Lonchura striata: one gene and its partners. The protein of the gene in region 1 interacts with the protein of each later gene in a biochemical or structural test. Links are inferred from orthologs where the notes say so. Each region holds a gene or a part of one and is shown on either strand. Other genes may lie near its edges. The genes, in order: NEDD4, TNIK, SGK1 and YOD1.

Evidence for each region.
Region 2: the proteins of NEDD4 (region 1) and TNIK form a complex in vitro, tested with the Homo sapiens proteins (2 studies listed by BioGRID). The link is inferred for Lonchura striata from reciprocal best matches to the Homo sapiens genes NEDD4 and TNIK.
Region 3: the proteins of NEDD4 (region 1) and SGK1 form a complex in vitro, tested with the Homo sapiens proteins (3 studies listed by BioGRID, with this or other methods). The link is inferred for Lonchura striata from reciprocal best matches to the Homo sapiens genes NEDD4 and SGK1.
Region 4: the proteins of NEDD4 (region 1) and YOD1 form a complex in vitro, tested with the Homo sapiens proteins (2 studies listed by BioGRID, with this or other methods). The link is inferred for Lonchura striata from reciprocal best matches to the Homo sapiens genes NEDD4 and YOD1.

What each region holds. Positions count from the first base shown.
Region 1 is NC_134613.1:11,478,308-11,485,797, forward strand, and holds the start of NEDD4 (E3 ubiquitin-protein ligase NEDD4), read left to right. Parts: upstream 1-4,380; 5' UTR 4,381-6,506; coding exon 6,507-7,490. UniProt on the Homo sapiens protein: E3 ubiquitin-protein ligase which accepts ubiquitin from an E2 ubiquitin-conjugating enzyme in the form of a thioester and then directly transfers the ubiquitin to targeted substrates. Specifically ubiquitinates 'Lys-63' in target proteins.
Region 2 is NC_134612.1:22,735,772-22,743,773, reverse strand, and holds the start of TNIK (TRAF2 and NCK-interacting protein kinase), read right to left. Parts: upstream 3,035-8,002; 5' UTR 2,830-3,034; coding exon 2,773-2,829; intron 1-2,772. UniProt on the Homo sapiens protein: Serine/threonine kinase that acts as an essential activator of the Wnt signaling pathway. Recruited to promoters of Wnt target genes and required to activate their expression. May act by phosphorylating TCF4/TCF7L2.
Region 3 is NC_134605.1:58,640,415-58,647,818, reverse strand, and holds the start of SGK1 (serine/threonine-protein kinase Sgk1), read right to left. Parts: upstream 3,137-7,404; 5' UTR 2,637-3,136; coding exon 2,568-2,636; intron 1-2,567. UniProt on the Homo sapiens protein: Serine/threonine-protein kinase which is involved in the regulation of a wide variety of ion channels, membrane transporters, cellular enzymes, transcription factors, neuronal excitability, cell growth, proliferation, survival, migration and apoptosis.
Region 4 is NC_134632.1:2,156,405-2,164,162, forward strand, and holds the start of YOD1 (ubiquitin thioesterase OTU1), read left to right. Parts: upstream 1-4,706; coding exon 4,707-4,914; intron 4,915-5,461; coding exon 5,462-6,168; 3' UTR 6,169-7,758. Other genes in the region: PFKFB2 (6-phosphofructo-2-kinase/fructose-2,6-bisphosphatase 2), read right to left, coding at 999-1,206, 1,663-1,787, 2,222-2,278, 2,412-2,486, 2,626-2,692, 3,040-3,136, 3,223-3,348, 3,933-3,996. UniProt on the Homo sapiens protein: Hydrolase that can remove conjugated ubiquitin from proteins and participates in endoplasmic reticulum-associated degradation (ERAD) for misfolded lumenal proteins.

The DNA of each region.
Region 1 (7,490 bases):
GTTACATAACTGCTATAAATTTAAGCCTTTAAAACTTGACTGCTGATAATGGTGACCAAAAAGGGCATAGAGCAGCATTCTACTTGTTTTGTTTTTTCCCCTACCAGTGACCCATATGTGAAAGTGACATTGTATGATCCAGTGAATGGAGCCCTTACCAGTATTCAGACAAAAACTATTAGAAAGGTTAGTCATCTTATCTGTGTGGGTGTGGTGGGGTTTGTTTGGGGTTTCTGGTATTGTGTTAAGGTTTTTTTTAAAAACAGACTCCAGAGAAAAAGTTAAAGCTATAGGAAATACAAGAATTCATGTATTTTGAGTGAATGGCTGTGTTGAAGGGAGTGTTCTATGGTCTGCTCAGTTTCTCTGTTTATGGCATTATTGTGGTGTTTTCTCTTCAAAAATTTTATTGAAAGGTAGAGGAAAAACTGAAGAATATAAGGTGAGTACTGATTCAAAACTACATTATTAATGGAAGTATTGGATTGTTCTGATTTTTCTGAGCTCTTTAATGATATAAGAATCTTTGTTCTTGTACAACTTTTTATCTTATGTTAAAAAACAGTTTGTTCTGTTTAAGCATCAAATTGCACCATTCATGTGAATCATGATACTCCTTGATTTTCTAGAATACATGCAGGAAAAAGTCAGTACTGCTAACTTAGTTTAACTGACAATGAAGAACTGTATATATGAGAGGGAAAGCACTCTTCCAAATTGTTCTGGATAGTGGCTGTGATTTATGAGGGCTCATGCATTTTTCCTTCCATGTTGATAATTCTTATATTAAACTCCCTTTGTAGCTAAACTATCTGTAGTATTTTTTTAAATATCACAGTTCAAAGATGAGCTTAGCTGAGTGAGTTATTGCTGTGTTTGGCCCATCTGTGCCTGGTCTGTGTAGTTTGTTGCTTAGAGATTTGGCATTTGGTAAGAGTTTGCATGTAAGTAATGTGGGTGTTGAGCTGAGAGGAAGGCAGTGATTATTTACTGAAGGGACATACTCTAAATTAACTATTTCCAAGTGTCTAAAGCACCTTCTCTACATCCATGACATAGCCAATATATGACAATACCTGCATAAATTGTGTCCATTCTGAACAGCATTAAACTCCTTTGACTTTTACCAGCACTATCAAGGTTAAAGGTATTTTTTTAAGTGGATTGTTACATGGAATAAAATGTGTAATACATCAAAAATTGTACAAAATAGTCAGTATAACTAATGCTCTCTTTTTTTTTTTTTTCCTTCCTCCATACATAGTCCTTAAACCCAAAATGGAATGAAGAACTCTTATTTAGAGTAAGTGATTTTGTTTATAGCCTTATTACATGTTGGATGTATTACACATTGAGAAAAACTACTCACCACTCTCCCCACTTCAGAACTCTTCCCTAATTTGGAAATAACTCTACAATTAATGTTCTGAAAGGCTCACAAATTGTTGTCCTTAGAAATATGTTTGTTAATTCTGAGACAAATGTGAAATTTTCAGTCTTGGTGTTGCCTTCTGTCGTCTGTGAATGTTTAAAAGCATGTGCATAGACTTAGAAACAGTTTGGGATAGTACCAGTTATGGTTTATTGGTTCAAATAGAAAAACATTGCAAAGTAGAATGGCAGCAAGGTATAAATTTGCTGTTTAATAAAGACCTTTGGTATTTCTTTCCTCCTGCATAAACACAGAGATTTTGCTGAAGACAAGTGCTGAAATTCAGTACATATGTTAATTATCACTATATTTATTTTTCATAGGTTAATCCTCAGAAGCACAGACTCCTTTTTGAAGTATTTGATGAAAACCGTTTGGTAGGTCTTTTTATGTTCATTTTGCAGTGTATTAAAGACTTGAATGAAAGCAGTCCATCAGGATTCAATGTGGATAAAAAACCCACTCCAAACAACCTTAATTTCTATAATGAAACCTAAAGCTAAAGGCAGACCTGATTATTTATATGATATTACCACACTCCTGAAGCTGTGACATTATTATTTTAAAACTTCTAATGTGTTTTAACTCATGAAAGCATCATTCTTTCATAGTGACCAAATTCTTTGGTGATATTGAAAGCTCTGTATTGGATGTTTATTTTTCCCTGTCAACAAAGCAGTATTGATATGTGGTGTGAGAAGCTTCCTCAGTGTGTGAGGAGTAGCATCAAAGACAGCATACATGGATTTTCTTTGGAAAGCTCAAGAAGAGAGAAATGGATTGCAACCTTGTAGATAGGTGTCACTCTGAATGGCAGGTCACTGGTGAGATAGGGCTAGCTTGTGCTTTTATCTAATTGAAATCAACATTCCTCCTCTGACCCAGGCTCTCATTTTGTGTCCAGATGTCTGGTTGCCTGTATTTGTTTTTGTGTTGCATTGTACGTAAGCTTGTAGCAGTACAGCCATGACACTTGCCTCTGTTTCACTGATGTTCCTTGTCACTGAAATAAATACCTTTTCCTTCTGCAGGAGTTTGGAACTAAAGGGAGGGATTGAATGCTTTTGCATGACAAACACAGTTTCATTCCAAAGAAAGGATCTCTTAGTGCTTTGTGTTTGAGTAGTGTGTTGGCCATGAAGAACATTTCTTGTTAAAGTTTTCTGCATGTGTTCAGTAAACCATTGTATCTTTTATCAAGATGCTGCTCTTCTGAGATTGGGAAGAGTAAAAATGTGTGTAAATGTAAGTACAAACTGCCTGGAATAATGAGTTTTAAGAAGGAGGAGGCTTGTTTCTTGGTTATAGGCATTACACAGTCCCCAGACCATTTAATGCTTAACTGGTGATATTACCGGTCTCAAGTATTTAAAATACAGTGTCTCTTTGATTTATTTAAAAGGAATCATAAGCACTTGTCTCTACATGGGAAGTTAAATATGATTTTTCAGGATGCTTAGATTTTCATCTGGACATAGTATTATGGGCTACAGCATATCCTTCACAACGTCAAAGTACTCTGTCCATTTTATGTCTGGTTAGAGCATTGCTGCCACCACCTGGAAGCCACGAGGCATGATTAGAAAGTAGGATTATTGATTTTTTGGGGGCAGAAGGCTGGTGTTTCCTTGGTATTTTCCAACAGAACTCCTTCACATTCTTTATCTAATCTATAAATTATTTGATCTGTTTGCTTATGGAGAGGAACCAGTTAAAGATTTTGTTGGTATCAGCTGGGAAATGGTGCTTTGTTTCCTATGCATGATTTTATTTAGAGATCAAAGTGTCATGACCTCATCAGTCACTCTAAGACCATCTCCCTATTTCTCTTCAGCTTGCTCTCAGAAAATGTTTTTATTCCAGATGTCTTGGGTTGTTCTAAGCAAGATAAATTGTTGCCTTAGCTATGATTGTTATTTAGCATTGGCAAGCTCCCCCACTTCCATTAATTCATCATCACATGATGAAAATCATAGGTAAGTATGTGTGATCATAGCTAAGTAGCTATGATCAAAAGATATTTCATCTTCTGTTATTTTAGTATTTCATTCTGTTATTTTCAGTGTTCTTTCATCTACCTTTTGGATGACTGTTTAAAGTCTAAATGTTAGCAGTTTGATAAAATTGAAATATTCTTTATATTTGTGTCCTCCTAATGGTTAATTTCCTCTTTACAAAATTTTATCCCAAGTGCATTTATTCTCTTTAACTTTAGGAATAAATGGAAGCCAGAAATACCTGCTTGTTTTTAAAAAAAGTTGTGTTATTGAATACCAACCTCAAAACCTTTCTTCAGAGTTTAGCTTAATTGTTGTGTTGGTCTTGCTGCATTGGTTATATTGCCCCTAGTCAGAGTTTTGAAATCTTCCTGTAATAGCTTTAAGACTTTTCAAAAATCACTTGTTTTGGATTTGATAAAGGAGTGCTAAATTTGGTTTGTTCTTCTGACATGCAAACCCTTGGGTTTGCAGTAAAGAATAAAGGGCTTGAGCAGTTTGTGGAGTCTTTAATTGTGGCTGTCTTTAAGAACACACTAGAAGAATGTCAAGAAGAACATTGAAATCACTTAGGAGGTGAGTCAGTGAAGAGACCATGTCTCTTGCCATCTGTCTTACAATACCTTTACAAAATTTAAGTATATTGCAAATTAAGTGCCTAAATCGGTTATTGATACTGAAGAAATCAATTCTATTAAGCTTTAAATGGAACTGTTGGTATATATTAAAAAATACTAACTTTTAGTGTACTTTTATGCCAACTCTAATTCAGCAACATTGACTTTAACACTTTAAAAGCCATTTTACATTGCCTGAGAAAGCTGTAGTTGGCTGGCAATACCTATACAGGTATAGCTAAGGAAGAGAGACGTGTTGAGAAATTTTGCTGGAATCTTAAGCCTTGAGTTACCAAAAATTATGCCAGTTTATTGTTTTTTTAGGATTTCTTTAGTAAAATTGAATGAAACATTTCAGATCATCCACTAGGGGAAAAAATAATGCTTTTACTAAAAGAAACAAGTACCTCCAATGGTTGCACTTTGCATTACAGCAATATGTTACAAACTGTGCCACTAATATGTTTGTTCTTGGGGAGAGAAGAAGCCTTAAGAAATGCATTTTTTACTTTTTGCTCACATATCTTAGGATCATTTGCTGATCTTTTTGGTTTGTGTTTGGTTTTATGGGTATTTTTTACTGTATTGCTTGAAGTACAAATGTAACATTTTGAAACTGACCAAAAGAACCTTTCATGGTATTTTCCTTTCCTCTTCTATCCCCAGTCCTCAGCAACATACAACTTTAGAAGAAGTCCTGTTGGTTATAATTAAATAAATGAAGTGTTGTATTTGTTGGCTTTTTATGAATAAGCTAGTATTCATTTATTGCTGCATTCTAATAATGGAATTCAGGTAATGGAGGTTAAGTAAGCCCTGGAGTATAATTAGAAAACAAGTTTGTTGCTTGCAAACAAGGTACTGTGAATTTGATTCTTGGCTCTTTTTTGGGAAGGAGGTATAAATGTTAATTTTACTGCCTTCTAGCTTAAAATACAGTAAAGGTTAAATAAATATGAAGCAGAAAAAACTCCTAGTAGTATGACCTATAAAAGTATAAATGGCCTAGTGTTCTCTTCTGTTTGTACTCTTTCAGCAGCACTAAGTAATTTCATGTTAGAGCAGTAGCATTCAGTACTGCATCATATATGGCTTATGTATTCAAAAGTACATTGATAGCCAAATGTTGGTGTTTTTCAAAACAAACCCCACAACAGAAATCCCACTTAACAGCAATATTCAAGATTGTCTTTTATCAAAAATCCCACTAGGTGCCAGCAAAGGACCTCTACAGATTGTATGAGCCAATGAAACATTTTGTAGGAATTCTCAATCTCTTTACTCTTGGAAGAATTGACAGTATATTAACTTCTTGACATGATGACCTTTTTCTTTTAAAAAATGAAAATTAAAAAAAAAATGGTATGAATCTGTGAGGCAGTTTGTGTATAATTATACAGAATAGCTTTCTTCTGTAATTCTGTTTGGTAACACTTTTTTTTCTGTGCGTACTTAGTTCAGTGTTTTGAAGTTTGTGTAGCTGGTCACAAATCTGCAAATCACATTGAACTGTAATGACTGTGTCCTTACTCTGGGTTCTAGCAAATAAGATGAGGTAGTTTGATTTGTAAGAGTAATCTTGTTTCTTTCTACCTTTAACAGCTGCAGTTAGAAAAGGTCAAACTAGAAATAAAAATAAATGCCAAATTATTAACCAGAAAAACTCTTTTTGGCTCCTTTTCAGTTGCACTTCATTTAAAATTATGAATTAATAAGCACAGAGGGTTCTACTATGTGCAAATCTTTAGAAAGTGTGATTGCTTAGCAGCATGTGGATTGCAAGATAATGCCAGATTGCTTTCAAGTTTTATTTAAATAGTGCAGAAAAACATTTTCTTAAGGGAGAGAGGAGGCTTATTTCACTAGTTTATGCATAATTCAGACCTCAGCAGTTTGCTAGCATGGTTACTATTTGGAAATTCAATCCTGGACTTGATACTCAATTATATGGGACTTCATTCCTACCAACTTCCTGTAATTCTAAACCTATGGGTAAAAATATTAGTAGTCATACGCTGCTGAGGAAAGTACGGACACATTGACTCAGCTCGTGCAGCCGCAGCAGGCGTTGCTGTTTGCAGCTTGGAAGTTCTGGAAGCCTATTATAGTACTCATTTATGCAAATTCCAGAAGGTGTAATTGCAACAAGGTCAGTAGTGTTTGTCAGTGTGTCGCAGCTGAGGTTTCTGGAACATAAGTGCTTTTTAAATGAAGGTTTTCTGACTGCAAGCAATCAACGACCGGTCCAGAAACTGCAGTTCAAGGAATGGCTGACTTATTTCAAGAGGTACTTTCTTTTAAAATGCTAGTATCTTGTAGAAATTAGGACAAAGACTGCAACTTTTATGGGCTTTTACTGTTGCAATGTACCAGCTCTGGGTTCTGTGCAGCTGCCTGTAGCCTTTCTGCTGAAGGATCTTTGTGGGTTTCATTTGCTAACATGCATGGAAATGAGAACAAATGGCACGACGGTTAAGATTGCATTTTGCTACTCAAAGAAGCAACACAGACCCATTATCAGAAACCTCTGAAGATTTTTTGGATAGTAATAATTGTATGTACTTCAAAAAATCACAGAGTTCTGCACCTAGCATTACACAAGTGAAACTGATTCCTAGACAAGCTGCTTATGCACCTGTAGTGCAACAAGTAATTAATCAAGAGAAAAGCACAACTGTTTCTTCACTGCAAATAAAAAAGAGCAGTTCATTGCACATTTCCTTGCAGTCTAGGAAGCAAAATGGATGTTCTAGGTTTGGTGATGTCGTGGCTGCTGGTGAAGACACTTCATTCATTGGTATTGATAGCGAAGGGAGCTGTGGTGCTGGACCTGTGTCTGACCATCGATCTAATGACAGCCTTCTGAGCAGTGCTGCTCTGGGCAGAGGCAGCCTCAGCAGCATTGCAGCAAGTGACAGTGGCTCGTTCAGCAGTGCTGGCAGTGACTATGGATCATGTGCAAGTACCACAAGTGATGGAGGTTCATATACTAACAGTATCATCAGTGACAGTGGCGCTCTTTGGACAAGTGACAGTACTTTCTGTGGTGACTCTTCATGTAGAAGCACTGCAAACATATGTAATCCCTCCAGGAGCAACTCATCTCAGGAAACACTGTACAGAAGTAATACTACTTTTGACCAAGATGCTTTGTCAGTGAGAAAGAAAACTAAAATTCCATTGCGACGTTGTTCGTCACTGGTTATTTTTCCTAGGAGTCCTTCCAGTACCCCTCCAGCTTCTCCAGTGAGCTCAGGTCGACTACCACACAGAGGCACCTATCAAACATCTCATAGATTAATTATTTCGCCTAGTGAGCTAGCACAAAAAGATGATCAGACCATTTCTAAGGGATTCCTTTCAACAGCAGTCAATGGACTTAGACTGTCTAAAACAGTTTGCTCTTCTGGTGAGGTCAGAGACATCCGACCGCTTTATTTGAAT
Region 2 (8,002 bases), on another chromosome or scaffold:
ACGATCCTCATTACCAGCACCACCACTGGAAAATTTCTGGTTTAAGAATCCTTCCTATCCTGGCACACTCAGTCCTCTGCACCCACAGGGGCACTGCTGGGTACCACGGCAATGAGCACGGTGCCCAGTGATGGATAGAAACGTGTCACAGAGAAGGCAGGAGCCAGCCCCAAGTGCACTTACTCGATGCACCAGGCCGTGCATTTTAATCAGAACTCAGTGCTTTGTTCCTGGCCCAGCCTCCAGCACATCAAGCAGATGCACTGCTGCGGTGGAGCCCGACTGTGTGGCCAAAATAAACTCTGCAGTGTGGCAAAAACGGGAGCTCCTGCCACCTCCTATGTCACCTTCCAGCCCAGATCTATAAATCCCACCTCATAAGCCCTTGGGCAGTGGCAAACTGAACTGAATGATGGTGTGCAGGGTTCTGCTTGTGCTCAGCCTTCACAACAGCACGCTGCCATCCTGCAAATACACCTCCCTTCCCTGGGACAGCAGGAGGGAAGCCAAAGCAAAGGACTGGCCAGACTGGCAGGCAGAGTTTGACCTTTCTGACACAGATTTGCCTGTGGCTCGTAAGCCTCAGCCTCCTGGAACATTTCAGTGACTCAAACTCAGAGATAAGTGTCCTGAGCGCTTCCTTTCCCTGCTGCTGGGAACAAATCGCCAGATTTTTGAGTCACTACCTGCTCCCAGCATTTCACAGAGTCACCTCTCACCCCTTTAAACACACAAGCAGCACAAAAGCAACATCTCCTACACCCAGACTCATCTACAAACCCACTGCAAAGTGACATTTCTTTTCTGATACATAAAAATTTTGCAAGGCTTGGGGAATTACTCCTCCCTGCCATGTTTTGTGCTCAGGCAGCAAATTTACTATCGATTTCTGATTCAGACCCCATGGAATGATTCACGCTTCGTGCCCTATCTGCTGAATTTACGACCTTTAACAATTATTCTAAGTGCTGGAGGAGCTTAGTTTAGAAGAAGATCTATTCCCTGGCAAATTAAGCTCCTATTCTTGTCTCGTCTGCAAACCACCACATCTCTCATCATTTACAGGAAAGTGCCACAGCAGGTCTGTCCCCCTGGGAGGGGGCAGAGGGCTGATTTGGCAGCAGCCCCGTGCTGGCAGAACAGTCACTGCTGGGCAGGAGAGCAGGGTTTGCTGTCCCAGCCCGGGGTCAGTCGGGGTTTTGGGTCCCCTTGTCTCCGGTTACCCTGAAATGCCAGCGCTGCTCTGCTCACCGACCAGGAGCTGCCGCTGGGTCTCGGGGGGGAGGGAGGAAGGGAATATACATTTCCTCCTAAAGCGAAAACAAAACCCTGACTGTAGCTGGTGCACATTGCTATTAAAAAGCCACAAACAGGGAAAAAAAAAAAAACAACAAACCAAAAAAAAAAAAAAAACAAAAAAAAAAAAAAACAAAAAAAAAAAAAACAAAACAACTTAAGCACGTCTGGATACGGCTTTAAAGAGAAATCATAACCTAGTTCAAATACAATTCCCAGCACAGATGTTAAATAAAAAAATTAAAAAAAAAAAAAAAACAGAGGGTGGGGAAGAAGGAGAGGGCCCTCTGCTCCCTAAATTATACTGGTCTCCTGAATTAACTCCACTGGCTTCAGCAACCTTTCTCCCTCTCTCCCAGCTTCCACCTAAGAGGGGAAACCAGCTCCAGGTCTGTTTTTAAGGCAGATGGTTCCCCCATTCCAATCTCATCTACACCGTGTATTGCTGAGCAATCATTTACACTATTAATCAACCAGAAACTCACCAGAAAGAAAGTAGGGCAAGTGAATAAAGATAGACTTCTCTTTTTTTTTTTTTTCTTGCACTGAAGCAAATAACATTGCTAAAAATACACTTGTTCAAGTCTTCAGCGGATTTTGCTTGATTTATTTGTCTATGCAGCGGGTTACGAGGAGCAGCCGGGCTGCTGCCTCCCGCAAAAATGCTGTTTCTCTCAATGACTCCCCATGCTCGTTCCCAACGAGCTGTTCTTACGGCCAGGAAGATGGGGAAAAGGAAGAAAGTTACACGAGAAATGGACCAGGGGGGACATCAGGCCACAGCCCACGCCGCGGCTGACACGTCTGACGAGCCTGACATTTCAAGGGTACATGCTGGGCTTCATTTTCCAGGGGGGTGAGGAGGAGGCAGCGCGCAGGGACACCGCGGGAGAGGGATGGAGAGAGGCTGCGGGGCCGGGGCGGGGAAAGCGGGGCTCTGGGGAGCAGCTCCGCAGCCCGGCCCCGCGATCCCCGCGTGTCCGCCTGCCCACGGGGGGATCGCAGCGCGGCGGTGTCCGGGTGGGACCCGCGGACACGCACACACCTGCGGGGGCACGGCGGGCACACACACACACACACACACACACACACACATGTGCGGATGCGCACACCCGCAGATCCGCGCACACATGTGCGGATGCACACACGTGTGGATGCGCGCACACGCGGCGGCGGGCACGCACATGCACGCGCACACGGGTTGTCTTACCCGCATTTACATACGTGCAGGCGCACATCACACACACACACACACACCAAGCACCGCAGACCCCCAGCCCCATCTCCCCGCCATCGCGGGATGGATGGATGGATGCATGCATAGGTGGATGGATGGATGCATGCATGCATAGGTGGGTGGGTGGGTGGATGGATGGATGGATGGATGGATGGATGGATGGATGCATAGATGGATGGGTGGGTGGGAGGGGTGCCGCTCCCGCATGCCTCCCCGCGATCCCCGGCCCTGCGCCTCACCCGCAGCGCCGAGAGGTCTATCTCGTCCAGGCTCCGCGCCGGAGAGTCGCTCGCCATATTTCCGCCGCCGGCCAGGCGGCCCCGCCGCCACCGACCGGGCAGTGGCGGCCGCCGCGGCGCTGGCGCTATTTAACGCCTCTCCTCATGCGGGGCGCCGGGAAGGAGAAGCCGCCGCCGCCGCCCCTGTCCTTCCGCCCGCAGCGCGGCTGCCTAGCGGCGGCCAGGCAGGCAGGGCTCGCCGCGGGCTGCTGCGCCGGGATGGCGGCGGCGGCGGCGCATCGCCGCGCCCGCCCCGCACCGCGCCCGCCCCGCACCGCGCCCGCACGGCCCCGCGCCGCCCCTGTCTGTCACCGCGGGGGCGGCGCCCGACCCGCCGCCAGGGGGCGGCGCCGCGCGGGGGCGGGCAGAGCCCCCTCAGGGCCGGGCGGGCGCCGCGCCGGGACCGCGGCGGTGGCGGCGGAGGGCGAGGGGACGCGGCCGGGGTGGTGGCGGTGGTGGCACCCGCGGAGGGACCCGGAGGGACCCTCAGGGCGTCCGGACCCTCCGGGGTGCGCGCCCAGCGGCGCACAAACGGGCTCGTGCAGCTCGCAGATCCCCCCCGACACTGACAGGCGCAGCGCCCGGGCCGCCTGGGTTCCCCTCACAAGGAGCCCGCAGCGGTGCCTGTCAGGTGCGCCGGGAAAAGCTGCCCAGGTTCAGGTGCTGAGCCCAAATCCTGCCAGGCAGGACGTGGAAAAGCTGCCCAGGTTCAGGTGCTGAGCCCAAATCCTGCCAGGCAGGAGGTGAAAAGCTGCCCACAACCTGCCCAGGTTCAGGTGCTGAGCCCAAATCCTGCCAGGCAGGACGTGGAAAAGCTGCCCAGGTTCAGGTGCTGAGCCCAAATTCTGCCAGGCAGAACATGGAAAAGCTGCCCAGGTTCAGGTGCTGAGCCCAAATCCTGCCAGGCAGGAGGTGGAAAAGCTGCCCAGGTTCAGGTGCTGAGCCCAAATCCTGCCAGGCAGGAGGTGAAAAGCTGCCCAGGTTCAGGTGCTGAGCCCAAATCCTGCCAGGCAGAACATGGAAAAGCTGCCCAGTTTCAGGTGCTGAGCCCAAATCCTGCCAGGCAGGAGGTGGAAAAGCTTCCCAGGTTCAGGTGCTGAGTCCAAATCCTGCCAGGCAGGAGGTGAAAAGCTGCCCAGGTTCAGGTGCTGAGCCCAAATCCTGCCAGGCAGGAGGTGGGAAGCGCCGAGGCCAGAGCAGCAGCCACGCATCCCCCTGCTTGGTGTTCCTCAGATGCTCAGTGGGATCTGGCCCTTTTGCAGATGGATGCGGATGTCACACCCGGGTTTGCTGGCCGGTTGTCGAGCTGTTCCCTCGGCACTCGAGAGCCATCCCAGCACTACCAGCTCCCAGGCTGATCCTAATTGGAATAAGAGATTGATGCTGTGTTTGTAATTGGCCAAACCGCTTCCCAAGCCAGCAATAGCTAGGTAGAGTCAGCTTTTAGTTTTCCTTATTTCCCCTTTTCGGATGTGGTTCCTGCCAAACCAGGTGCCGTATATAAATATATATGTATAAAAAAATCTGTTGCCTTTGAGAGAACCGTATGGAAGCTGTACTTACAACATCAACTTGTGTCAGGAGCTTACAATATGCAGATCTGGGAAGCGGAAACCCTACACATGAGTCAACTGGCAGGCGGATGGGATTTTCTTACACTTTCTGATTGGAGATGTGCTCCAAAAAGTAATAATAAATGGTATTGCAAAGAGTCGTGCAGTTGTGGGGAGGCTGCTGGTGCGGGAGGTGCAGCCTCACCAGGCAGGACTGAGGGACACGGAGGGAAAAAGGCCAGAAGGAGCTGCTGAAACCTCGCAGAAAAGATCAGGATTGGTGCTGCCGCTGCCCTCGGCTGGCTGGGCAGCCCGCACTGCCCGGGGGATTGCATCCCTGCCTTATCACTTACTAATCCTGATTGCAGCGCCGGCGTTTCAGCTTGCCGGGCTGCGAGGGCACAGCAAAATGTGATTTCTTTTTGGTGATGAACTGCCCAAGTCGCACGGGGCTGCACATCACCCGCAGTGGCGGCAGGCTGCCGGGATTTAACCCCTTTTCCCAAGCTACAAATCATCACTCCTTAATATCGTGCACAGTCAATAGCCCTCACTCACATATAAAGAGGTAATTTTGATCTAAATGCTAAACTCAACAAACTCCCCAATCTTTCGTGGTGTTTTTCTAGACCAGATGTTGTCTGTGTCTGTTCCAGCCCAGGATTTGCAATGTTGCGCTTGTAGTTGGGGAGCTGGAAGCAAAACTGCCTGGAAACTGGTAACAAACCAATGCGAGACTTCCTCCTGCCGTCATTGTTCTCAGGCAGAGAAGGGAGGAACAAACAGGATGAGAGAGGATGCTGGCTTGCTCTAATGTGCTTTGCATCCAAGAACACACAGGATTATTTGTGAAAAACATAAGGATTAATATATGCATATATATAGATAGATATGTCTAATCCTGCAAATAGACAGATTGCCCTGATCTCTCAGCACGAGTGCCAAGTCCCAAACTAAGCTGTGATTTAATTACAATCTATCCACTGCCTATAGAGATGGGAAAAATGTAGAGGACCCTCCTATTATCACTGAAATAAGAAATGCATAAAGCAATAGAGGGAAGTGACAGGAAAATCCCAGAGAGTGCTACTGTTTCCAGGCTGCTTGGGGCAAAATTGGAGCCATGGAGGGGAGATGTGCACCCAGTGACCTCTGGAGATGCCAGGGATGCTACATGGGCTGTACTGGTGCCCAGGCAGGCTGCAGGAAAAGCTTAAACTGAGCAGGAAGCTTTTTCCATCAAAAAATTAAATTTGCAATTTGTTACTCTTTTAGTTATGCATTTACCAATCTATCTGTGTCTCTCTGTGCACTGTTGGTTTTTTTTATGCCAGGAGCGTCTAAAGAAACCTTTCAGTTACAGTCACTGTGACTCAAAACAAAGTACTCAGCTGAAGTGGCTCAAAATATTTTGCCGTGAGTAATTTCAGCACAAGATTCAGTTTTTACCTGGCAGGTCCCCCCTGGGCATGGCAGCTGGACCCTGCTGTGTCACACCAGCTCCAGCCAGCGCTGGCACAGCTGTGGGTGAGACGCAGCATGGGCAGGGCACCACCAAGCCAAATAAAGGAACTGAGTTACAACACCCCATCCTTCATGAAGCAATAACCATGGAAGAAGCACACAGCCCTCCCAGCTCAGTCCCCACATCCCTTATCAGCTCCATTTCCATTTCTTCTGCCACATACTGGGATCATTTTGTGACAGGTCATTGTTTTTCTGATTTCATTTCCATTTGGAAAGTGGGCACATGTGAAAATTCCATATTTCCCACAGGCCTTGGTGAGCAATGAGCACCTTAATGACCCAAAGCTCTGCTGTCAGCAGTGGAGGACCCTGAAATAACTATTTTTGATTTACTCATTGAAGGGCATCAGCCCCCATATAAGCTATCCAGGTCATTTGACCTCTGCCTAAAACTAAATTTAATTATCTAACAGTGCCATCGCCGTTAATTATATTGTGAGGGAGTGTATGTAGGATGAATAAATCTAAGTGACACATAAGCCCTTGCCCAATTAGCAACAGCTTCAGGTGCTTTGGGCTTTGGATCATTCTTCAAAAGATCATCAAGATGAGGAATGAAGCAAACAGGGAAGCATGTTTGGGCACCAACATATGATTTATTCCACAATAATTCTGTGACCATGTAGCCCCAGTTTTTCTGGTGTCCTAAGTCCAGGCTGGTTTGCCCCGCTGTTAACCCTTGTAAGACAGTACTTAAAGGACTCTGCCCAAACTAAACAGAGAATGCTGAAAAATTTATACTCCATAAAATGCATAATAATTGGGGTTTAGGCTAACATGCAGCTGTGATAAAAGAGACTCAGAAATGACTGGCTACATGTGTCCTAACCGACATCTATTGATCTCAAATGCACTTTAACTGATTCATTATCACTTACTGATTGCTCGTCCTCCTGCTGATGAGGGTTCCTCTCCAGGGAGAGAAGTGTTTTTCCACTGCATCCTTGGAGCAGAGCAGGACTACATGAGTGAACCCTGCTGCCAGGATTTTTCCTATAGCTGTATACAAAAGAAAAATCCCCTGTAGATAGTGCATCACTCCCTTACTCAAGCATTGTGTAAGTACAAACCTCTGTGATTGGGGAGTAAATGGAAAATCAACAAGGGCTCTTTGGAAAACCCTTCCTCTACATATTCTTATCAGGAAACAGAGTGGTACACTCAAACAGCAAATTCCTGGGACACCACGGGGAAAGAGACAGGGGATGGTTCACTTCCAGGTTAACTCACCCACAGCACTGCAGGGTTCTTCCCCAAAATATTTGAGGGAGCAAAATATATGCTGAGGACCAGCACAGGGTTTTCTTTATGCCCCTTCTGTTGCCATTGCTTTTGTCTTCTCTTAAGGACTGCCACTGTGGACCAAAGCCACCAAGGACACTCCAGCCTGGAAGCCACCCCCAGTATGTTGCCAAAAGCAGCAGGAGTGCTTGCTGTGCCCGTGCCTGGTTTATGTAGCTCAGACTCACTCTGTGCCTGGCCTGAGCTGAAGAAGGCTTCTCCAGGGTAGCAAGCACCCACATCCTTTGAGACACTCTGTATCATTTACCAGAATGCTAAAATTTAAATGTAAAATTTCAGGTTTTAGCTAAAGCAGAGATGTTTGTAATAAAATGTGTGTGGTTCCCCAGCAGATGCAGCAGGAGCTGATGTCTCTCTCCTCAGCCTGGCTATAGCATCAGGGCTTTATCATGTCCTTTTGGCAATACGATTTTAGGTTGCTATTTGGGAACACTTCACACTACTGATGCAGGACTTCCTTTTGTCAATTAACCTCTTTCCTTTGTGCCTCATCTACAAAGAAAAAAGAAAACATTAAAGGGCGACCCTACTCTTCAGGAGGGTGTCAGGTCTTTTATAGTCATTTAAAATGTGCCAATTGCGACTGGTTAGAAACCAATCAAAACCCCATTTTTGCACTGCTTGCAGAAAACCTAACATGGCCTTGCCCCCAGCAAGCCACGTCCCCACAGTCCTGCTGAGGAATACTAATTTCTTGCCCTGCATCTCAGGGATGATATTAGTATGTGTAAGATCCAGAATGCATGAGCTGCCAGAACAGGGATGTTCCCCAGAACCCACCTGCCACAGCAGGGAAGTCCTTTGGGAGC
Region 3 (7,404 bases), on another chromosome or scaffold:
ATACATCTGGCACTTTCTTCCATAAAAAAAATCCGTGTTGAAAAAATAGCAGCATTTCAAAAATTTAATGTGTTTTACTCTACATTGATTTGGATTTTCTAGAATTAGACTTGGAAAGCACCTCTACTAGAAATATGTGCTTTTGAGGAGATAGACGCAGTGATTTCAAACTGGAGAGATTGAAGCCCCAGCCCTTGTTTCATCATAGACCCTGCTGGTGATCTGGACAAGCCTGCTCAGTACCCAGATAACAAATGACCTTCTCTGTGTGTCAGGCATCTTTCAGTAAAGAGGGATAGCAGTAACCTCACCGAGCAGCCAGGAGTGCCAGGCTCTGCAGTGCAATTCCTGCCTCCCACTCTGGATGGAGGATGCATCCCCTGGGTTGCTGGTTATGGTGCACTGGTGCTGTGGGGATGCAAACTGTCAAACAGCTCTACCACACACTACACTCAGACCAAGAAAGCTCACAAATGTGCTTCTATACACCAGGATTCTGGTGGTTCAGCCAGAGTGTCCAGATCACTGGCAGGAGACCAAATAAACTCTTGAACCATCTCTCCTTGTTCTCACAGTAGTTAACATGTGACACATCACCAGTCCAGCAAATGCAAGATATATTTCTGGGAGCCAGCAACACATTATGAGCATATAGCTATTTTTGTTTGTGTGTGTTTCAAACACTGGCATTGGACAATGGGGATTTTCTGCAAGGAAGGTAAGAGGGGTAAGAGAAACATCAATGAACACATATATCTATTAACAGAAAAGTATAGGGAGAGAATTCCCTTCTTTGTGTCTCTAAATTGGTTTTACTGATTTCATCTATCTTCATCACAATAGCAAAAAGGCAGCATCTGTTAAAATGAAAACATTCAGAAACCAAAGGCAGCTATTTGTCCTGTTCCACTGTCCAGGACTGTATCAGTATGACAGTTTCCTCAATTATGACTACAATTAACAATCTCTTTCAACTGTAAATTCATGGATTACCAGTGTAGGTCTGAAAAAACCCAGAAATCACAATTTTCCCTTCTTATAGAACAAAATTAGGTAGAGGTTTCCAGTGATAACTTCTCAGTGACTCTAAAAAGATAGAAGACAGTTGACAATACAGGAACCTTATACAGGAATTGCAAGACAGTTACTTTCCTCTTTAATAATACAATTATATTAAAATCTTCAAGCAGTTAAAAAAAAAACAACAGATAACCTTGCTGGTAAGCTGAGTATCAGGTAAACATGTGCCAATAGTAATGTACTTAAATGAGAAGCATGTTGGGATGACAACCATTTTTAGGGGCTGAATTTATGTGCTGTTTGAGTTATCAGTCTGAGGCTTCTACAAACTGCCTTGGAAACAACAATTGTTGGCTAACACTGCATTTTTTTCCTCTGAGTGACCCAGCTAGTATTTTCTATATCTGCCCTTAAATGTGGCATCTTGGTGCCTGAAAGGGTTTGACCCCAGCTTACAAATTAGTTACTGGTGTAGGCTTCATTATTTTTGCCTGAAGGGTTAAAAGAACTGACCATATTCTTGGCATAATGGAGGGAGAGTGAATGAATGAGGATGAATGAATGAATGAACTAATGAGTGAATGGAGCAGCTTATCTGCTCCTACTCCAGTCTGTTTAAAGAGAGGGTTGTCGTTTTAATCACTCAGGAAATCCTTTCCACAGTGTAGTCCCTGCTAACAATCTCTTTCTGATGCTTTGCTTCTGCTGTCTGGGTCTACCCAGATTTATTCAGAATACCTGTCCTGATGCCACATGGAAATGACTGCTTCTCAAGTAAATAAAGAGTGTGCAGTATTGTCACTAGAAAAGAGTCAAAGAAACAGAAAGGACTTAGCTAAAGCGACGAGATAGAGTTACACCTGCATTTCTTGGAGAAAAACAGAATAAAATGCATAGCAAATATTTTCTGAATCCTGATGTATCTATGTTAAAGAATATAAAAGAAAATCAAATCCAGGTGTAGCTCAGTCTTACTCTTTTCTCCTGCATGAATTATGATTACAGTCAAATTAGAAACTGTGAAGTATTTTCCTGAGCTTACAAATGCTTCTTTGTTCTCTTTTTCCCCCTACTTTGTGAGATGATGAATGGATGAGGGTAATGCTACACTTCAGGAAAGTAAATGGAAGGTGTGGAGGGAGTCATAACCCTAGGTGGATGTGGAGCAGCGAGTCAGAGGCAAGCTGCAACATCCCTGCACTCTGCTTTGGAGTGCATTATCCCAGCCAGAATAGCTGCCTGTATTGCGTCAAGCCCTGGGGTCAGCCGTGACAGAGATACACATTCCACAGCAAAGAGTGCTGATGTAATGCCTTTGGAGCCCCCAGCCTTGTCCCCCTGCCCTGCTCCTCTTCACCTACACTGCTATTACCCTTGGTGTTCAGTAGAACTGCCCATGCCATGGGCTCCATAAAGTAGAAGACCAACATAAAGCACTTTCATTCTTCAATGACTTTCTCTCTACTCTGGCTGAGTAAGAAACACAGCAATAATAAAAGAAAAGAAAAAAGAAAAAAAGAATTAAAGGAAAATCTGGAAAATCTTACCCTCTTTTTAAAAAACTGAAAGGCTGAGCACTTCTTGACTGGAAATCCATTCATGTCTTTGTTGACCATTTTCCACAGTGAAGGGTACACAGTGATAGATCCAGTGTGCCAGTGTGGCACTTGTTAGTGCATCTGTTTTCCTCTGTATTCTTTCAGCTAATGAAGACAGAGCAGGGCAGGAGACTCACCGGCATGGCTCAGGCAGCTGTCCTTTACACATTCATCCTGCTGCACCAGCTACTGCAGCAGCAGCACAGTGGCAGCAGCAGCTCTCACATGCAGCTCTCTATTAGCTTCTTAAAACCATCCCCTAAATACATATCCTCCTGTAAAATCCTGTGACAGCTCTCAGATCAGAGGCAGCAGACCTCAGGCTAAGTGGGTCTCACATAAACCCGGGTCCATCCATCCTGTGAGATTTACTGGTACCACATGCTGTATAAGCATAGAGGATACCGTGCTTAATTTGCTATTTTCCTTCTTCAGGTGGTGCAATTCACTGCTGTTTGAGATGAGAGCTGGTTTTGATTGTGCAAATTTCAGTGGGAGCTGCAGTTCAGTAATAGCAGAGAGAGAGAGAGGGAGGGAGACAGGGAGGGAGGGAGGGAGGGAAGGGAAGGGAAGGGAAGGGGGGGGGGAAGGAGAGAGAGAGCGAGGGAGAGATGCACAGGCAGAGCAGCCAAACACAACCATACAAAGGGTAGTAGGAAGGCTCAGGGAAAGAAGTGCTGAAAGGCAATATCTTTCCCCTGGGATAGTGACAGAGGTAGCTGTCATTTTATAGGTGAACAGTCTTTGAGTAAGAAGAAAAGAAACACAGGTCAATTAAAAAAAATGTTTTTCTTATGTTCTGATTTAAACAGTGTTACTTTGGAAAAAAGCCCATCCAATGATCAATGTCATACTGGGTTATGTGACAGGACATGCTGTAGATAGTTCAATGAGTTTAAAGGAAACCCACAGTTCCTATAAAGTACATTTCTTATATGTGGTGCAGATAAATGTGACCCAAGCAGACACAGACACATTTGTCCAGATATTTCCATAGAAACATAGATATATATCTTTGAAACCCAAAGGGTTTTTCATTAGAAATAGGACTGAAAGAATCTTGAAAAGGCACCTTTTTAAACTTCCTTTTTATTAAATTCAATTGAGTTAAATGTCACCAAGTCCAGTGAATCCAATAATATGTGTTTAACTGAACTGTAAAGTCTACCTTAATTAAGTTACATTTTCCAGAAAGGTTTGGAAAATAAAATAGGGTTTTCATGACCTCCTATCAGCCTATGTTCCAGGTTAATAAACCTCAGTTTCAAGAAAGGACCTAATTTCTAATTTCTAATACTGATCTGGCTTCTCGCTCGAGCCAAAACTTCCAAGATTGGTCAGCCCTGTAATATAAAGTATTTTATATATATATATATATGAGGATATGAGGATACTTGTCTAATTTAAATCATCTCTATGTTTAGGTAAATAAACTGAGCATTTCACATTTTTCAGTGGAAGTAATTTTAAGTAGTCTTTGAAGATATTGTGTCACTCTTCTTTGCCCCTTTTATCCCCTCTTTTGAAGATCCTTTGATAATAAGAGCTGTATATCCTATTCAAGTGCAAGGTTCCCCTTATTGCATGTAGAGAGGTAAAACTATGAACATAGAGAATCCCACAGGTCTTTGGACCTGCGCAACTCACTGGAGACTCCAGGCTGAGCAGATTGTAGGCTATGACCTTTTTTACAAGTCAACAACATGTATTTCCCAACTTTGTACCTTTAGCTCTCCATCACTGTTTATAAACAATTTGGCTGCACTCATCCTAGACTTCAAATTTCTTAAGGATGTAGTACCACAACATTCATTCAAAACCTCTTTTCCTCATACCTATTTCGCCATTTTTTCCCTTTTCTTTTCCCATCCTTTCCCATCCTTTTCCTGTCTTTCCTCTTTGTATTTAATTTCAGTAGTCACGATAATACTCTGAGAAATATTTCTTGAGCTCAGGTTAAAAATTCTGGTCAAAATTATGAGGGGAAGGTACAGCCTGATCCCAGGTCACAAATGAGAACACTCATTGGGAAGCTACAGTTCAATGTCCAAGCAGCACAAAAGACATAATCTTGATTTTGGATGTTCTTACAGGACTGTCTGAAGCAAGGAGATTAAAAGCCAATATCTCATCAGAATTGTTTCACTTTATATAACTAATTGTCACTGAAGCAAGGACAGAGGGAATTTTCCACTCTGCTGCTCTGTCTGGGGCTAATGGATTTTGCCAAGGAGCAATTCAGCCCGGCCCTTAAAAACTGATCAGAAATTCAGAGTGCCCAGCTAGAGGGACATTGGGGAGGTTTTTAGAAAATACGGAATTCTCAATATGCATCAGCAAGTCTTCCCTGAAGTGAGCACCACCCTCCTCCACCTTGCAGCCAATCCCTCAGTCTTATTGATCTCTCATAATCTTTTGCTGTGCTTTAGAGCTGTCAGAGCTATATTCTGCTGCTTACAGATAGAGCTGTAGACAATGGCGAGTGCCCAATTTCTACTGGTGGTGTCTCTCACTATTCTGAGCACCACATGCTTCGTTGGCTAGTCTGAAATGCAAGAAAATGATTGTCAAAAGAATGACTTTCTCTCGGGCAAACCAGGCAGCTTGCTATGCACGTACATTTATTTTTGAGATCTTTGATCTATTCAGCCACAGCTTTGATCTGTCTCTCAGCCTCAGATATTTCTCCTGCAGGCACTGCCTTCTCTTTCACAAAAGCATTTGTGTTGTCTCTACCTTCTCCATAAGATTTCCAGCCTGCTGATTGAAACACCATTCTCCTTCAAGCCTCCTAAACCCAGCACCCTGTAGGCTGCTGGGGGTGGAGACTGCTGCTGCGAAGATATCTCATGAGTCCTGGTGCAAGGGCCTTGGCCCCAGACCTTTTTGGCTGTTTACTTTGTTTGGGTGCTTGCCTCTTTTCAGCTGAACAAACTATGCCCTTAAGTTAATTTCCATTAGAGAGAAAAAACTCCAGCTGCTTTTTAAGTAGCCTGATAGTGATAGTTTTAAAGTACTGTAGGAGTTATTTTTTGATGCAGGTGCATTGCTGCAAGGGGAATGGCCTAGGACACTATCCCTGAATCACACAGAGCTCTCCTTGGCCTCCTCAGGATATCTATATTTTGACTGGAATTCTTCTCAGCTGGAATCTCATTGACTCTGTGGCCTCCAAGGAGTTTATTTCCAAACATTTTTTTTTTTTTTTTAATACAGTATCAATCAGAGTGCAACTCAGTGCCTGCAGAGCTTATATCTAGCATTGGAGATCAAAAATATAAAATAGGAGGAAAAAGGGAACACCACATATTTGTTTTTACACCAGAAGCCAAATATTTAAAGCCAGAGATATTTTTACTAGAAAAAATGTTTCACTTTTTTTTATGATGCCAAAAGCATGGCTTCATAATTAAACCTTAAATGAGCATAAAAATCCATGTTCACTGCATTTAACTTCAGTAAAAAGGCATAAAAATTGAGTAGGAAAATAAGAATTTCAGCCAGGACAACACACTCAGCTGTGCTTTATTGTGATTGTCACAAAACATCAAGGGCTTTCATCAGCCTGGTGGACTGCCAGATATACCAAACACTTTAAACAAGTCCTACAGGTACTGCATGCTTTAACACCCTTTAGCGGTTCCCATTAAATTGTCATATACTCCGCAATGATAAAATAAGTTTTTCATTAGGGCAGTCAGGAGAGAAATACACATGTATCATAGCTACAGAATTTCAGAGAGCTGCAAAACACATGGTAGCATTTGAATTCCTGTGAGACAGCCCTGCAGGGAGAGCATGAAGGTGTTTTTCTTGAAGATCTTCTTGAAGAAATAACATAACTTTTGACTGACGTAGTATGCAAGGGGCACTAAGCCTGGGCCAGAATTCTCATTCTCTTGTTGTGCCTCTTATGAACACAGATACCAATAATTTGCCTTGCTTTTAAATGCTTACAAGTGCAATGTCACAGATAACAGGTGGTAAATCAATCCAGGGTTTATCATAGAACAAGTAGATTACATTGACAAGTTTAATTAGCTACGACCTTAACAGACTAAATCTTTTTCTCCCACTGACTGAGAAGAATGCTCAGTATGAAGTCACAGTTTTTAGTATCACAGCCCTTTTTTTGCAGTTCCCTTTGCTGTGCTTTCAAAGTTGCTTACATCTCTGGCAGGGGCCAAAACCACATGTGGCAAATCATCTCTAGAATGTTATGGGTTCTTACACAGCTGCTCAGTCTGTGAGTGCTGCTTCCTTCACTTCCTTTGTGGGCAGGGAAAGGTGGATAGTTTCCAGCACCCATGACTGATATTTTACTCTGGTATGCAATGATAAAGAAAGGCACAGCTCGTTTATCAGAGTACACCAGGACCAGCTCAGAAAGTAAGAACAACAACTGAAGAGAGCAGAATGGGTGTTTGAACATCTTCTATGTCCAGAAATGTCTAGTTGAATGTCCATATGGCTTTCATCTCAGCTCTGCCTTAGAGCAGCTCTTGACACTTCTGTGGTTGCTCCTCTAGCTTTGGTCTTGTTGTGTGGACACTGCTCTTAGGCCAGCTCTCACGTGTTCTTCATCTTGTATTGCTCACAAGCATCACTTGTTCCCCAGTTTCTACTTGTATTTGACATCCCTGCCCCTGATCATATGCAGCTCAAGACCTCATGGAGTGCATGGTGCAGCTTGTCAGGCAAATTTTCCCACCATTCTTCCTCTGTGCTTGCTCCATATGCTCTCCCAGTCACTGTGAGGAATGGGGCACTGAGTGACATGGCAACA
Region 4 (7,758 bases), on another chromosome or scaffold:
CACACAATAAACACACACTTTCTAACTTTAAACTGTTAGAGAGTTTTTGTCCCTCACATCTGGATATCGGTACTAGATCAATATCTGTTGGAACTCAAAATGTCCCTCAGACATTTTTGGAGGTTCCGGGCCCAGGTCAGAAGCATTTGAGACCCTGGCAGGCAGCTGGAAACAGCTGTGATTTTGGGCTTGAACCATGGAGTGATTTACCAACCTTGAAGGTGGAACAAGGAGTCACAAAAGTTTAGATATTATAGTAGCAGTAGTCACAAAGTAGAGGGGAAAATTTTTTAGTATTGTACAAGGGGGTTTTAACACCTGTACAGGGGGGTTTTGGTTTTGTACACGGGGGTCAGAAGTTTTAAGATGGATTTGGGATCTGGGCTGATCCTGTTCCTCCTCTTTCTCCTTCCTTACCTCCATGTTCTTGGTGATGTTGGCACTCACAGATTGGTTTAGAGTAGAAAAGCACCATTTAATATAGGTAATAGGCATTGGGGAAAAACTGTAAACATGTAACATGTAATGTACCATATAAAAGATAGAAAATCACCATTTAATATAGGTAATAGGCATTGGGGAAAACTGTAACCATGTCACACGTAATGTACCATATAAAAGATAGAAAAGCACCATTTAATATAGGTAATAGGCATTGGGGAAAAACTGTAACCATGTCACACGTAATGTACCATATAAAAGACAGCAGCAGCCCTGGCAGGGAGAGAAGAAGCAGTCGGGGTCAGAGAGGATGTCAGGGTGTGTGTGTGCCTCTGCCTGAGCTGTGAGCAAACCACAGCAGCTCCAGAAGTAAATCTTTTAGATAACTTGCAATAAACTGCCTTGAGACCCAACAACAGAGACTGCTGAGCCTTTCTCTGGAAGCACGGGTTGGAGGAGAGATTTTTCCACCACACGGAGCCCCTGAACCAGGCCAGGGGTTCCAGCAAATATCCGCATTTTTTTAATAAATCACCAGGGCACAGCTGGGCACCTACCTGCTTGCCCCGGGCCGACAGCCCCGAGTCCCCTCCAATCCTGCCCAGGAGGTTGTACTCGCTCTCGCCGTGCCGGCAGAGGTAGATGGTGCGTGGCTGGACGTGGATGTTCATCAGGTAATAGACAATTTTACTCTGGATGTAGTCCTGCACTCGGTTAACCAGGAACCGCTGGCCCACGTTGATCACTTTAATGAAGGAAAGATCTCTAGAGTGGACATAAAGGAAGAACAACCCACATGGGTGGTTTGAAAAACCAGGCACAAGCACCTGCAAGGGTCACCCAGCTACTGCTCCTCTAGGAAAGGCAGGACAGGCTCAGAACTGCTGGCCTTAAAAATCCTTCCCTGGGAGGGTGGGGAGGCCCTGGCACAGAGTGGCTGCTCCTGCATCCCTGGAAGTGACCAAAGCCAGGCTGGACAGGGTTTGGAGCAGCCTGGCATAGTGGAAGGTGTCCCTGCCCATGGCTCTTTGAGATCCCTTCCAACCTAAACCATCCTGTGGTTCTGCAGCACACACAGAAAAATCCCTTCAGATCTCACTTGGGACGTGTGATTCACCTGCACACAGTCACACCTGGGGAGAGCAGAGGTGTTGGAGCATCCTGACAGCAAAGCAGCTCCTGTGCCCAAGGACAGAGGGATGTGCCAAGGGATTTGCTCACTTGTCATTAGCATCCGGGTCCAGAGGCTGGTAAGTGACCTTGTAGCACTCGATCCTCTTCAGGAAATCGTCCATCACATTCTCCCGGTGCCTCTCTGGGTAGTCAGGGCTGGAAACTTTCACCTCCTGCCCAACAGACAGCCGAGTTAAGCAAACTCAAGAGGGAAGAAAAGCCACGATGAATAAAATTCCCCTCTTTTGAAACAAATCCACATTGTTTGACGCTGCCCTGAGGAAAAACCTGCTCCTGGAGAGAAAACAAAGGGCGACTCTTAAGGCACTGAAGGGGTTGGCCCTGACAGACACCGCTGGCTCAGAGCTCTGCCCTCCCTCCCTCGCCAGGACAGCGCTCCAAGGTCACCCATTCCCGGCTCCTCTGGATTTCCACATTCTCACATAACGGCATCTCTGGCTTTTAATAAACCTGCAAATCCCAGCTCCTGTCCCGCAGGTGAAAGGAGAGAGGGAGGATTTCACAGAGATCCCCACGAGCTCCCCGAGCCCGTGACCTTGCACTGGGAGCCTGAACAGCAGCCGAGCCTGGGAAGGGCAGCACGCACCAGGATATTGGCAGCGATGACCTCCGGATCATCACAGACAGACTCCACAAAAAACACCTGGGCAGGAGGCAAGGAAGCACATTTCAGAGTCAAAACTGCAGAGCTGCTGTGCCAGGGAGCCACAGCATCCCTCAGCACAGCGACTGCAAATCACACGCACAATTAATCACACACACAATTAAAGCATTACCTTGAAAGCATTTTCCTTAGCAAAATTTAAGATCAGGTCTCGGCGCTCCCGAGTCGTGTTGGTTGCATCAAACACCTGGCAAAAAATGAGGAAGGAGTACTGAGCAAGTTCATCTTAAGACTTTTAAACTCCAGCTCCAAATCAGGTCCCCGAACACTCCAGGCAGCTTTGAACTGCCCTGGTGTAAAATTATTTTTAGTGCAGAGGATCTTACAGCTATTTGCCCACACTCCTCCAAGAGATAAGACTTCACATCTTCCAGAGCCACCAGGGCACAGCGTCTGCAGGACAGAAATAGGGATGGTCACAGCTGATGGAAAGCATTCCCACAGCAAAGCTTCTGAGCCAGCAGGGAGGGATTCAAACACCTCCCTCGCACCCCTGCACCGTTCTAAGAGCCCCAGAGATCTTGGGGCACCTCCACTGTGTGGCCTGACCCTGAGCTTTGTGGCAGCCCCAAACTCCCACACCCATCCCATCCCTGGCAGGATCCCTGCACAGGCTGTGCTGTTCCTTCTTCCTTCCCCAGGCGCTCGTGGTTATTTTCTGCTCCTCGTGCACACAGCCTGCCAAGACTCCAGCATCCCCAGCCCTCCCCGGAGCCACCCAGCCCCTGACAGGGACTCACTTGCGGATTTCCATGGCCTCTTTGTTGTCGTGCCTGAAGAAGTCGTAGGACTTGTAGGACTTCACCGCCTCGCGCCGATACACCCCTAAATTAAACACTTCACAGAGGAGAGGAGAGGGTGAGGGCATTCCGCTGGCAGGCGTCACAGCCCGGGCAGGGATGTCCCCAAACACGCACACCCACCTTTGGTGGGCACCCCGATCCAGTTGAGGTAGCGGGTGAGCTTTTTGGACATGTAGGTCTTGCCCCTCGCGGGCAGCCCGATCATCACGATCAGCGTAGGGGAGTTGGTCATGTAGGAAGCCCATGCTGCAAAAAAAAAAAAAAGAAAATAAAAAAAGCCCCCAAACCACCCCAAAACAGCATCAGGGGCGCTGCAGAGCATAAAGTGAGACCCAGCGCAGCGTCACCCCGTGTCCCGGTGGATAAAGCACCTCCGCGCATCCCAGGACGGGCTCGCGGTGTGTCCTTGTCGTTAATGAGCTGCTGTGATCACTCTGGGTCTCCCAGGTGTTTGCTAATGAGGCGCACCGGCAGCACCGCTGCCTAATGGGGCTTTTAGTGTTAAAAGCATTTGCCGCCCGGGCAGGCGCCGTCAAGGGCGAACGAAAGATGTTTTTAACAAAACGGTCACGTTCTCTCAGCAAAGCAGCCCGAGCAAGCTCCGAAAAGGCCCGCGGAGAGGCGGATTTGGGGCGAAAAGCACGGGATGGGGATGGGCGCGGGGAAACGGCGGGAGGGGAGAGCGGGGCAGGGGCAGGACGGGGACCCGCGGGAGGGACGCGAGGCTCGGGGCAGACGCGCGCAGCCTTCCCCCCTCCCGCCGCGGATCGCGGTTCCGTAGGGCTCGGAGCGCGCACCCTGCCCCGCACCGCCGGGCCGGGGCTACTCACAGCACTGCTTCTCGCCGGCCCGGCCCCGCGGGGCCCCGGCGCAGCCCCGCGGCGCCGCCGACATGGCTCCGCGCCGCCGCTCCGCGCCCCGCCGTATGCAAATCGCATGCAAATCAGCGGCGGAGCTCGCACACGGCGGAGCGGCGACGGAAACCGGGTCCCGGGGACCGCACACGCGGGAAAAGGGGCGCGGCGGGGCGGGAAAACGGGCCCGCGTCACGCGCGCGGGGGCGCGCGCTGTACGCAAATGAGATCGTGTGGGCGGGGCAGCCGCTTGCTGTATGCAAATTAGGCCTGGAGGGCGGGGCAGCCGCTGCTGCATGCAAATAAGGCCTTGAGGGCGGGGCAGCCGCTCGCTGTATGCAAATGAGGCCTGGAGGGAGAGCCGCGCGCTGTATGTAAATGAGACCGAAATTTCGGTGGGCGGGGCGAGAGGGGAACGGGAGCGCGCGCGCCACGCAAATGAGATGGGCGGCGATGAAAGGGGAGCGGAGCTCGCGCCTCTATGCAAATTCAGGCGGGCTATGCAAATCACATGGGCGGTAATCATCGGGGAAGGGCGGGGACCGCGACTCACGGCAACGCCTGGCGTTATGCAAATGAGCTGGCAGGCGGCGTCCGGCTGCATGCAGACTGAATGGGCGGTGCCACCTCCTCTATGCAAATAGGAGGGCGGGCGCGCGGCCCGGCTGTATGCAAACGCGCGCCGGGGGCGGGGCGCGGCGTGCTCTCGCGAGAGCGGGGCGGGCCGGGCCGGCGGCGGCGGCCCCGAGGATGCTGCGGCTGCGCTGCAAGGCCCGGAGCGGCTCGCACGCGCTGCCGGGGCTGTGGCCGCACTCCCGCCTCCGCGACATGCAGGCCGCGCTGGCCGCGCTCACCGGGGTGCCCGCGCCCGCGCAGCGCCTCCTGCACGGCTTCCCGCCGCGCAGCCTCGACCTCAGCGACGGCGAGCGGCGGCTGGGCGAGCTCGGCATCCACTCGGGTGAGGGCCGCGGGGGGCGGCGCTTTGCGGGCTCTGCCGCCCCGCCGGCTGTAATTGCGTTAATTAAAGAGGCCGTGGCACGCACGCCCCGCGTCAGCCGGCGGTCGGGCCGGTTCCTGCTGCCGGGGGAGGCGGCGGCGCTTCCTGCTCGCCGCCGGTGCTTTGGCCGCTGCCGGGGCTCCGCGGGGAGCAGCGCGGGGCTGGAGGGGACGGGGCCCGGCCGCGCCAGGTGAGTCCCGCGGGGACCGTTGTGCTGCCACCGGCTGTTGGCCGAGGCTGTTCCCGGCGGGACGCCGAGCCGGGGGAAACGGGCCCAGGTGTGCGAGGCCAGGTCGGACGGGGCTCGGAGCAGCCCGGGCTGGTGGAAGGTGTCCCTGCCATGGCAGGGGTGGGGATGGGTGGTGTTTGGGACCCCAGACCAGTCCATGGTTCTCCTCCGGGATCCTCAGCAGGGACAGCACGGCCGTGTTGTTGTGTTTGAGGAGCAGCAGCCGCTTTAAGTCTCCCCTTTGCGCCTCTCTCACCCATCCCCGCTTCTTTCTGGCAGGTGACACTCTCATAGTGGAAGAGGACACATCCAAACCCGAGCCTGACTCGCCGGTGGTGGCCAAAAAAGCAATGTCCCAGCCTGTCAGGGAAGCCGTGCCTGTGCTGGCCAGGAGGGTGGTGCCAGCAGACAATTCCTGCCTGTTCACCAGCGTGTCCTACGTGGTGGAGGGCGGCGTGTACGACCCCGGCTGCGCCCCGGAGATGCGCAACCTCATCGCCCAGATCGTGGCCAGCGACCCCGAGTCCTACAGCGAGGCCGTGCTGGGTAAAACCAACAGGGAATACTGTGACTGGATCCGCAGGGAGGAGACCTGGGGAGGAGCCATCGAGGTGTCCATCCTCTCCAAGTTCTACCAGTGCGAGATCTGCGTGGTGGACACGCAGACCGTGCGCATCGACCGCTTCGGCGAGGACGCCGGCTACAGCAAGCGCGTGCTGCTGATCTACGACGGCATCCACTACGACCCGCTGGAGCGGCGCCTGCCCGGCTCGGACCTTCCTCCCCAGACCATCTTCCCCAGCAGCGACGACGTGGTGCTGGCGCAGGCGCTGGAGCTGGCGGATGAGGCGCGCAGGAAGAGGCAGTTCACGGACGTGAATCGCTTCGCCCTGCGCTGCATGGTGTGCCAGAAGGGACTGACGGGGCAGCTGGAGGCCAGGGAGCACGCCAGGGAGACTGGACACACCAACTTCGGGGAGGTGTGAGCTCGGCGGGAGGAGGGTGCCATCGACTACCTCAGCGCTCCGGAATCCAATTCTGGAGTCCCCAGATAAGCTGTTTGTAATCATAAAATTCCGTTCACAGAGCTTGAAAAGCGAATTAACTTCACGGTGGCCGAGGCGCAGGTTTGGGAATAGGGGATTGGGAATAGGGATGGCACTTGGGCAGGTGGTGGACAGTGGCAGCCACACCTTGATTTCATCACCTTTTCTGTGTGTGTGTGTGATCTGAGCACACAGACACAGGCTTGTCCAACACTGGTGTAAAATCCACCTCTGAGGTGCTGAATGTACATTTTCAGGGTAATTCAATTAATCTGAGGCTTTGGGAAACACTCATGTCAGCATCACTTACACTGAGAATTAGGCTTTGCACTCACGCTGAGAATTAGGCTGAGCAGCTCTCAGAGGGGAGAATGCTCGTGTGGTGCGTGATTTGTAATGGAAATATCAAGTACAATAACAAAATATAAGTTGTAGTGGAAAGAGGATCTCTGAGCTGCCCTGTACCGTCAGGAATAGACTGTGTAGTTTGTGTGCAGAGAACTTTAGGGAAAGCAATGGCCTCTAAGCTTTAAGGTAGCCTTTAAATTAATGAGTAGATGAATAAGTGTTGAATAAAACTTACTAATCCTCCGTAGGTAGTTTTTAGTTGCTTGAAAAATAACTCTTAATCCCCTGGTGTTTACACTGCATCAGAGCATAAGCATGTTTCCTGGAATACTTGGGATTCTTCATAATTGCATTGGAAATTCCTGCAAGAGGGAAGTGAGTAGTTAGGGAAGTGACTTAATTTGCATCTGTTAAATACATTGAGTATTTTACTTGAGCAGAGCCAATCACGGCCATGGTGTTACTAAGCTGTTCCAGTTTCCAAATACTGTGAATGAGCACTTTAAGGTTGAGTTCTCACTCTTTGCTGGTAAAAAGTTTTGCCCTCTGGAGGCCAGAGCCAGAAGGGAGGCTTGAAATTCCATCTGCTTTCTGCCTTAATGTGTTTGATTTGCCACCGCTGACTGCGGAGTAGCAAGACTTTCATTGTGATAATGAAAGGTGCAGCTGAATATTCAGATGAAAATAAGCTGGGAAAAGTGCCCCACTCCTTGGACTGTTCAGAATCAGGGAAGGTGAAATTGGTTTAATTGGAATATCTTACCTCACGGTGGGGTCGTGAAGCTGAACAGCGAGGGCTTTCAAAAGGTGCTGTAAAGGTGCATATTACTGAAGGGGATTTATGTTGGTTTTTTTTTCTTTGAAATGCCTGCAACACGTCCTTATTTCTTAAATTTTAAAATATCCTTTGCCTGCCATTCTTCTTTTACTGTTTTGAGTGACCTTCTTTGCACTTTTAGACTGGGGAACAAGAAGGGGTGTCCTTGGACTGAGGCAGAAATATAAATCCACTTTCCACGTGGAACCTAAAACCCAGTTTGAAAGGGCTCTGTTCCCTCGGGCACTGACCAAACTGGTGCAGCAACACCACCTTTTCTGCAAAAATCATATTTCTAGTTCTCAGCAGAGGCTCCAGTTGGATCTTGAAATACAGGAGGGTTTTATTGAAGAAAGAAGGTAATT